Linked DNA regions of Kluyveromyces lactis. The protein of the gene in region 1 purifies or fractionates together with the protein of each later gene. This does not show direct contact. Links are inferred from orthologs where the notes say so. Each region holds a gene or a part of one and is shown on either strand. Other genes may lie near its edges.

Region 1 (3,762 bases):
ACCTTTCTTCCATGCATCTAGTTAGACATCTGGCTTATGCGTGTCTTATATATCCATGACTCGTCTAGCAGATGAGTGAACCATCATATCCACGCAATAACATGCAAATCCACGGCTCTAAGGTGGAAAAAGGAACCCTAAATGGTGTATAGTAATGGTGGCTTCAAGGGTATAAACCATTGGACTTAATAGCAACGGCCGGTAAATTTGCTGATTCAAAGCCTCGAACGATTTTCGTTACCCGGAAAACACAATGACCGGGTAACACTTCACGTCTTTTCAGTCCAGAAGCCCAATCGCGAAAAGCGATGGGCTTCTGGACGAGCGCAGTAAATATGTGCACATTAACGCATCAAGATAGGCACTGTTTGCCTCTCTATATATGCTCATAGTATTTGATATACACGCAACAATAGCACATAACAATGAGTAGTTGGCTATCGGAGTCACAGCGTATGTTAAACCATGTATGCGTTTACTATTATTTTTGGTTTCCCTTTACTAACATTTGTTATTTGAGATCGGCCAGTAAACTCATGCGAACATAAGGGAAATAGAAAGACGGATTGTTCAATCCGTCTTTCTATCTCACTTTTGTTACAGTACTTGCCAAAATCTTGAAATCCCACTTATCTCCCCAGAATTCGGTGCTGTGTTCACGTTCGGTGGATGTTTGTTCTTCCTTTTTGGTATCTTCACCTTCTTCGATAGAGCACTATTGGCTGTTGGGAACATCTTGTTCCTACTCGGCGTGCTGCTGATGATAGGCCCACACAAGACTCTCAAATTCTTCACTAGACCGACAAAGAGACGTGGGACCTTGTTTCTCGTGTTTGGGATATTCATGATCTTATGTAAGTGGACGTTCCTTGGGTTCATCATCGAATCGTTAGGTATAGTCGGTCTATTCGGCGACTTTTTCGGCGTGATCCTCCAATTGCTGAGGTCCATTCCTATAATCGGACCAGTACTGTCTCACCCTACCATTGCACCAGTCCTAGACCGTATAGCTGGTGTGTCAGTGCTTCCTGTGTGATGTGTGAGTGTGTGTATCTATATATATATGAGCTGTATTCGGGAATGGTTACCCTGTCCAAAATATGTCGATTACCCTACCTGAATATACCTCTAAATAAACAAAACCAAAAAGCTCCCAGAACCAGTTTAAGTTGTGTTCAGAGATTTATAACGATAATATACGGCATTAAACACAGCTTTTAAGGATCAAATTGGCGTTTTGGGCCATTAGACAAGCCAATTGGGTTAGGTTCGATTGTTATTCATTAAATCAGAGACTTTGTGGGGTGAATTTTGTGTGTCTCTGTCGCATTCTTTTTGATTTCTACAGTTCCGAAACTGCAAAATAAGAAAAGCCTTTTAGAAGTTTAGATCAAAGGAATCAAAATGACGCTCCATAGCAAGAGCGGTGACGATGAATCTGGCACTCATACTGAGTTTTACGATGATAATGGGATTGCTCATACCACACCGAGGCTGCTGAAAAAAGTTAACTACGCAGAGATTGAGAATGGTTACGATTATATCGAGGAATCTGATACGAATTCTGGAGGAACAGCCGCCGTTGGTGCTAACTATTCAGATACCGGTACTGGTAGGCGTCGTGGTAGGCGTCCCGGTCAGAGGAACAAGAGGGTTCGTGATGATGACGACGATGATGACGTTTCGTTCCACGAGGAAGATGTAGACGATGATGACGATGACGACGACGATGTTGATGACGGCGATGAGTATATCGACCCAGCAGATGATCGCAAACGGATAGCGAGAAGAAGAGATAAAAATTTCATTGTCAAGGACGATGAGGATGGATCTGATGGGAATGAAGATTATAGTATCAAGGAAGAGGATCTGGATGAAGATGAAGATGATGGAGATGAGGATGAAGAGGATGACGATGGTACTGTGAGACGTGGAAGAAGACCAAAACGGTCTGCAGCAAGAAGTACGCGTAGGGAACAGCCTCCTCGGAAGTTAAGGCCGCATAGAACCAGATCGTCTCGTGTTGTAGATGACGATGAAGACGACGATGATACGGTAGGTAGCGGTCGTCATAGATCGGCAAGTGCACGTACTAGAGAAGCGCTTACACTTGAGGACGAAATTAGAGAATTACAGGAGGACAGTCCTATCAGAGAGAAAAGGTCTTTGAGAGAACGTACAAAACCAGTAAATTACACGATCCCACCACCTTTGTCTGAAAATCAAATTGGTGCTATGGAAGCTACTTCGGTGCCAGGAATACCTCCAGGAACACTTCCATACCAATCATCCGTTTATCAGTCCCCAAGAGGTAAACGTGGTTTACATTCGGGTCAAAGTTTTGGACCTATTAGAAGGTTATTCCCTACCGGTGGTCCATTTGGTGGAAACGATGTTACGGCGATATTTGGTAAAAACGTTCAATTCTACAACTCTAATCCAAACGCTCTAAACGAACAGTCAAACAAATTTTTGGATTCTGATTCATCCGATGACGAAATCTTAGCTTTGGGTATGAAACCGAAACCAAAGGATCCATCAAAACAAAAGAAGAAAAAGAAACCGGAAATTGCAGATTTGGACCCACTTGGTGTCGATATGAACATTAATTTTGATGATGTCGGTGGTCTAGATAACTACATTGACCAATTAAAGGAGATGGTGGCATTGCCATTGTTGTACCCAGAACTTTATCAAAACTTCAATATTACTCCACCTCGTGGTGTCTTGTTCCATGGCCCACCAGGTACAGGTAAGACTTTGATGGCTAGAGCATTGGCCGCAAGTTGCTCAAATGAGAAGAGAAAGATCACTTTCTTCATGAGGAAGGGTGCTGACATTCTTTCCAAATGGGTTGGTGAAGCTGAAAGACAATTAAGGTTATTGTTTGAAGAAGCAAAGAAACATCAACCGGCAATCATTTTCTTTGATGAAATTGATGGGTTGGCTCCAGTTAGATCTTCCAAACAGGAACAAATCCATGCCAGTATCGTGTCGACAATGTTGGCATTGATGGATGGTATGGATAATAGAGGTCAGATTATTATAATCGGTGCTACGAATAGACCAGATGCAGTGGATCCTGCTTTAAGAAGACCAGGTAGATTTGACCGTGAGTTCTATTTCCCTCTACCAGACTTGAAGGCTAGAGATAAAATTTTGCATATTCACACCAAGAAATGGAATCCACCTATTTCAGATCAATTTATTTCAAAGCTAGCCTCCTTAACTAAAGGATACGGTGGTGCTGACTTAAGAGCACTTTGTACAGAAGCATCTTTGATCAGTATCCAAAGAAAGTTTCCACAAATCTATAAAAGTGAAGAAAAGCTAAAGATTGATCCTAAATCAGTTAGAGTCAAGGCTAGAGACTTCATGCTTGCACTAGAAAAGATTGTACCATCATCTGCTAGAGCTACTGGCTCTACAGCGCAGCCTTTACCAAAATATGTTGAACCGCTCCTCGCTCAACAATTTATTAACGTCAAGGATCAGCTCAACTTACTACTACCCAAGCAAAGCACAAAATTGAAATCGGGTTCCTCCATTATTCAATATTACTTAGAAAATGAGGATCTTGAGGATTCTGATGACGAAGAAGGTACTGGATTCGATAAGCATGAATTTTTAAAACTTATCAAGAAATCTCGTGTCTGCAAACCGAAACTTTTGATCACAGGCCCGCCCGGTAACGGGTTACAATATATCGCTTCCGCCACACTACACTTTTTGGAAGATTACAATATTCAAATGCTTGACATT
Region 2 (3,134 bases), on another chromosome or scaffold:
TAAACTTGAGTCAAGTGGTTCTCTCATTGATTTTACCAATCGTTTCTGCTCCTTTGATTTACTTCACTATGAATCATAAAATTATGACCGTTGTGGATGTGGATTCTGCACCCGCATCTGCAGACAGTACTGAAGAAAGTAGATTATTATCGAAAGGCGTTAAGTCCATTGACTACACCAATGGAAGACTGTTGAGCATCAGTTCATTTGTTATATGGTTGACAATTGGTTCATTGAATTGTTATCTTGTATTTTCATACCTCATGGGAGCGGACGTGCATTTTTAAGTCTAAGTAGGCATTTTATATAGTTTTGATGGATTCTGTTTAATCTATAATCAATTCGTAAATTGTACTTATTGGATCTGCTTTGTTGATCTCTTCTCTTGTACCTTTGTTGTGGTTAATTTCTTTGTTCTTTATATAATCTTTAATTGTTCTTGGACATTTACCTTCGAAAGTAATTGAGGAAGTAAAAAAATCGAAACACTGATGGTTTCAGAAAATAACTCCAAATAATAGTAACCGTTAGCTATCACTGATAATAAACTAGCCCCACAGATTATTGCACACTACCACAGCTGCGATTTATAGATTCTATACGGAAATATCTACTTCACTGCATAACTTTCTTACTTTTCTTTTTTCTAGTCGATATGGTCTTGACGACAGGAACTGATCCGGCATAATTAGTCTGAAGGACTGGGAAATGTTTCTCGTGCAATTTTGGAGATGTCACAATCTGTTTAGAAAGTAGAGCTTCTTTCAAGATGTTCTGTGCTCTATGATAAAGGGAAACTTCCTCACTTGTTGGTTTTGATATCTTGTTCAGCTTGACCCTTCTCGATTTACATGCCTTTAGCTTTAGCAATATCTCTGTCAATAACCTTTGCTGTTCACCTTGCTCAAAAGCCGTTATATCTTCATCATGTATCTCATGGCTAGGTTGCCAGTCATAAAGATTTTTCAAATTAATATTGACAGGTCCAGCTGGCTCCGTTGTCACTATTACTTCATCTCCCTCCTCATTTGTATCTTGCTCTTCATCCGTGGCAACATTCTGCTCTTCATCATTTTCATTTGATTCCTTTTTTTGGTTGTCAGATCCGATACTGTCATTTGCTTCCTCAACCTTTTGATCTTCAATACCCTCATCCTTTATTTTTTCATCTTCAACATTTTTATCTTCTGCTTCCGCAGCCCCTCTCTTCTTCGATTCTATTTCTAACCAGCTTTTGTATCCGACCTTTTCCAACCATATGTCTCCTTTACGGGAACAATCTGTTACAGACTTGAACTCCGAGATACTCGGAGCAAAAGATTGATAGTCGCCATACTCCAACCATTTAGTAGTGGGTAGCGGGTACCAATTCGGATGCAGAAAGGAGGTCATGATTTCTGTAGGAGAAATTGTTGGATCAGGAACATTGGAAGTGTTAGCTGCTACGAATCCCAATCTATTGGCTGGTTGGGATGTTGCTTGAGGAATAATTTTCACAATTTCACATTCCTCGTATGGTACTTCCTTTGGCCTCTGATCAAGTACTGACCTCGTTATCACCGAACTGAACAAATGTCCCTCCTTTGTCTGCGTATGGTAAGTTTCAGTAACGGGGAGCTGATAAACTTGACTAATTTTAAGGAAATCATTGGAAATGGTTTTTGAAAAATCACTTTCTTTGAAGTCAATGTCTGCCGCGAAGTCTCCCACCAGTTTGGCTCCAACTCTATAACATTCCCTTAGAATCAATTCTGCTGCAAATTTGTAGAATTTGTCGACCATTTGGTACGACCTCGTTCCTTGAGAGTAGTAGTGAATTAAAATGGAGCATACTAATTTAATATCATGGTAAATCCGATAAACAGAATCTTCATGCTTCTGGTAATCTCCACTAGCAAATTTATCAGATATGGAAATTGAATCAATATCTTCTGCTATTTTGATATCTGGATTTTCATCAAACTTGGCCCTTAGAAACTTCACGTAAGAATCGTATATGTGTGTTGGATCAGGCTCGTAGAATTCTTTAGGAAACCTTTCATCTAAAGCTCTGCATTTCGAAGATGCACTAATTAAATCAAAATAAAATTAATACTGTTAGTATTTGATTGTAAAATAAAATCATGCTTTGGCAAATCTAACACTGAAAACATAAAATAAAGACTTGAGGAACCCCAGGTCATCGTATGCTGGTCTTTAATTTATTATTATCACCGATTCTAGACAAAAACATGTGCGAATGCAACATAATTCGAATGAAAAATGTGTTGTTTTTATATTCACATACCCTTTTAAAACAGTTAGTAAGTTCTGAAAAAAATTCTCTTTTAGCAGCTCTACCATTGTTTACTTATTTTTAGCCCACTATAAAAGAGTTTGCAGACCTTGTACTCTCTCACTGCCCATCAGTTTGTCATTCAGCAGTAATGTAAGAAGCCTTTATTGATCAACCTGCGCCAAAACCTGTGTTTTCATTATGAAAAACATCAAAACCGTACATCATGATCCAACTGGCATCCATTGACAGCTTTTACAGAGATTCCTGTCACAGCAACAGTACCCAGTCATAGCCTAACAAGCTAGGTATTGGCCTTTAATTATTCCAATGCAATTGGTATTATATGAGTTAATTAATTCTATAAATTGTACTGGTGTAGTTCTAGGGTCTTTTCGAAGCTTGATAGTTTTTAAATGCTTTTGGAGTAAGGAATTTCTTGACCGTCCATACACCTTTCTCTTTCTCTTGATGAACAGGGATAGGATTGAGTTCCCAACCAATCTTGATGTCGCTATCATTGCAAGATCCAAATCTAGGAACAACATAGCAGAATCTTTCTGTTGGCGATAAATCAATAGGTTTCAAACCTTGTCCAGTGATTGGTTTTCCGTAAGTGAGTAACGAGCCCTTTCTTGCAACGTTAGCCAATGGCGTGCTTTTAATGTCACAAAGAGACTTCATCCTTGTTTTCGCCTTTTCATTATTTTTATTGACATGTAGTGATTGGAAAACCAAGTATTTCGGAGGTTGCTCGCCAGAATTGTTGAGAATTGAGGTTGGATGAATATAAACAAAGATATCATCCAAAGAAGATGTTTTCTCAGCAAGGACTGGAACATAAGGGATATTGAAAATG
Region 3 (3,038 bases), on another chromosome or scaffold:
ATGTATTTATCTATATTTGTCATGTCATCCTGAGTCATTCATGCTGAGTTCAAAGTCAATTCCGACCCTTCATTGTCGTTTAGCTATGAATCTTTTCTTATAGTGAAAAAGAAACTATTCCCGGACAATTCGTCAACTCCAGGAATCTCTATGATATATTCTATAGTTAAGGTACCGTCTGTAGCTATCATACTAATATCTAATATACCTCGAATGTATGAAGCGAGTTATCTTGGATCAAAATTTCTTTGTGCATTCATTTCATCATTCTAGTTCTTGATTTAAGGATCTTTCACCAGAAGTCATAGAATAACTCTTACAGAACCATTAAATGATTGAAGCATGAAAAAAGCAGTCGATACTTTTACGGGCTTAGCAAAATTATCCTTCTCTCAACCCTTTGAAGTTTAGTTCTCTGGATGGGACCCTTATTCTTTTGTCAAGCCATTTAGATGTACTAAAAATTAAAGAACTAGTCAATCAAACAAAAGAAAGACACATTATTCGACAAATACCGCGAGGAGTGTATATAGTTTTTTATTTATTTATTTGTACTAATACATGATATATGAGTTTTTCATTCCAACTTGGCTTTCTTGGAAGGTCTTTCAGACTTTGAGGTTTCACCTTCTGAATCGGAGGCGGATGCTTCTGAATCAAATTCTTCAGCGACATCGTCATCTTCGTCGGACGCATGGAAATCTTCATCTACAGATTCTTCATCCTCACCTGCAGAACCCATGTTAATATCTACATCATCATCATCGCTGTCTGAGCCGAAGGCAGTCTGCAGTCTCTGTTCTGCTTCCTTATCTTCGTTCTTTACCCTCAAGTTTTTGGACCTCAAGAATGTCTCTAGAAGTTGTTGTTCCTCTTTAGAAATATTAGCAAAAGTAGTAGTACCTCTATTGGCACGCATAACAACTTCCAAATCGAATGTTCTGGCTGATGTAGATGTCTGACCAGCTCTTGAAATATTGACCGCAGCAATATCTTGGAAGGGTATATATAGGGTTGGTTTCGTCAAGAACAAAAACGCATTGTCCAATGGGTATAAGTGGCCTTCATTGACTTTGTATGAACAGGATACCGCGCATTGGTCATACTTAGACTTGTATTCACCAGGAACAATGACTCTTCTTCCTGTCAAACCCTTTAAGACATGACTTAGTACAATGTGAGTTTTAGCATCGTATTGTTTCTTTAGTTTATCCTTGTAAAGCTTTTCGAACTCATCATCTTCCACATTTAGTTGGACTTCTGTTTCCTCGTCCTTCTGGAATTGTAACACCAAGAATGGGTAGGATGTCTGACCTTGACGGATTGGTGGATCAATCGATAAAACCATCAAGTAATGGATGTCGTCAGCTTTTGGCAAAGAGAAGATTCTGTTTATTTGACGATGTTGTAACTTGTACTCATAAGTCTTACCTCTAAGTCTGATAGAGTTTTTGTAGATATCAATGTCGTAACGGCCTCTTGGCGTAGTGAAGAACAGATCCTGGAAAGAAATGATGGCATCACCAGAAATTTCACCGATATCTGCCTTAGATCTCAATTCTTCGTAGAAATATTCTGCTAAAGTCTTCTCTTCTTGAACGTCTGGTTCTTCACTACCCTCTTCCGTCTTAACCTCCGACTTAACACCGTCTTCTGCTTCTGCTTCGTCCTTTACCATGATTTGATCTTGATCTTCATTTTCTTCAACTGTGCCTGGAACATATAACCTCATTTCAACAAGTTCATCACCTGCAGGATTATATGCCTCATTTTGGGTGTCAAATTCTAATGCAATCTCATTTTTTGCTGTTAAATTAGTGTTATTGATGTGCGTGTAAGGGATTTCAAAAGTTGGCTTACCGTTCAATGAAAAAACCATTTCGTTTCTAGCTAAGTCCAATTTACCCCAATTCCAACCACGTAAAGAATGTTCCCTGTGCTCTAATTGCATGTTGAATCTACGTTGGAAGTCATTCTTCAATAGGTTGAAATCCTCTTGTTGGAACCCATCCATTTGAATCAATCCCTTATTCTTAGTACTAATTTTCAATTCGTAGCCTCTACATCCTCTACTCCATTGAACGGAAGAAACCTCATCTGCAGCCAATAGCAAAGGTTCATTATTTTGAGTAGAGGCTGACCCACCTGTAGCGGATGCCTTCCAACCAAGACCTCCTTCAGCTAGACGGAAACGTCCACCGAGCTTGGATTGGTTGTAATAAATTCTATCGAAATCTGTACTCATTCTCCACTATCCCAATATAAGAAATAAAAAGTAGGTATCCAAGACGAAGATCACTAGATTTCAGTAATACTGACCTGTCTAACGTAAACTATGGGCTAACAACTCTGCCTACCGTTAACGGTTTCATATGTCTTCTTATTTGTTCATGTTTTAACAACATCTTAAACACTTTGGCGATTTTTCATTTTCATTTCTAGTAAAGTTTCCAATTCGCGTCACGTTGACAAGAGGTAAGATGGGGGAGTGAACGGAAAAGAGACAGTTTTTACACACGAAGAACTATCAGGTCGAGGCCCACCCCCCTGTTGCCGGAGGAACAATGTATGATACTGCAATTACCGCTAGGTCATAAATTTGGTTAATGTAGGAAGCTGTATATAGTTTGTTATAAAATAATAACTAGGTGGAAAGAATAAAGGAGGCAGCTCATTTGAAAATGAATCTACAATTTGGAATCAACACCCCTGAGGAATTCGACCAAACCGATAGCTCCTGGGTCCGGAATTGCTTCAGTGTCTTCCACGTAAGATGCACGGCCGAACTTGGCTTCTAAGTTTCCTGTAGATTCTGCACCTCCTTCCGCCTTGGAAAAGGCCTTATGGAAGTCCTGAGTTGAACTAAACTCTTTCACGAATGGCTCCAAGGCATCGATCATAGTAGAATCACCTGGCCTAGCTCTAGTATATTTACACAATGTCTCGTATGCAACTTCTAGCGATTTGGCGAAGGCTTCTTTGTCCACCGCATCATTTTCTCCGCATTGTTCAATAATTCCTTTTGAAAGGCCCGAAAT

Evidence for each region.
Region 2: the proteins of YTA7 (region 1) and RSC58 purify together in Saccharomyces cerevisiae (affinity purification with mass spectrometry, with the first as the bait; 3 studies listed by BioGRID). This does not show direct contact. The link is inferred for Kluyveromyces lactis from reciprocal best matches to the Saccharomyces cerevisiae genes YTA7 and RSC58.
Region 3: the proteins of YTA7 (region 1) and POB3 purify together in Saccharomyces cerevisiae (affinity purification with mass spectrometry, with the first as the bait; 3 studies listed by BioGRID). This does not show direct contact. The link is inferred for Kluyveromyces lactis from reciprocal best matches to the Saccharomyces cerevisiae genes YTA7 and POB3.

Annotation. Positions count from the first base shown.
Region 1 is NC_006037.1:857,054-860,815, forward strand, and holds the start of YTA7 (chromatin segregase YTA7), read left to right. Parts: upstream 1-1,404; coding exon 1,405-3,762. Other genes in the region: GOT1 (Got1p), read left to right, coding at 426-453, 642-1,036. UniProt on the Saccharomyces cerevisiae protein: Functions as an ATP-dependent nucleosome disassembly factor that helps evict canonical histone H3 from the 5'-end of genes upon their induction.
Region 2 is NC_006042.1:1,593,422-1,596,555, forward strand, and holds RSC58 (Rsc58p), read right to left. Parts: upstream 2,344-3,134; coding exon 2,288-2,343; intron 2,069-2,287; coding exon 616-2,068; downstream 1-615. Other genes in the region: putative divalent metal ion transporter SMF3, read left to right, coding at 1-287; ATP-dependent RNA helicase ECM16, read right to left, coding at 2,660-3,134. UniProt on the Saccharomyces cerevisiae protein: Component of the chromatin structure-remodeling complex (RSC), which is involved in transcription regulation and nucleosome positioning. RSC is responsible for the transfer of a histone octamer from a nucleosome core particle to naked DNA.
Region 3 is NC_006038.1:445,339-448,376, reverse strand, and holds POB3 (FACT complex subunit POB3), read right to left. Parts: upstream 2,246-3,038; coding exon 578-2,245; downstream 1-577. Other genes in the region: DAK1 (dihydroxyacetone kinase), read right to left, coding at 2,688-3,038. UniProt on the Saccharomyces cerevisiae protein: Component of the FACT complex, a general chromatin factor that acts to reorganize nucleosomes. The FACT complex is involved in multiple processes that require DNA as a template such as mRNA elongation, DNA replication and DNA repair.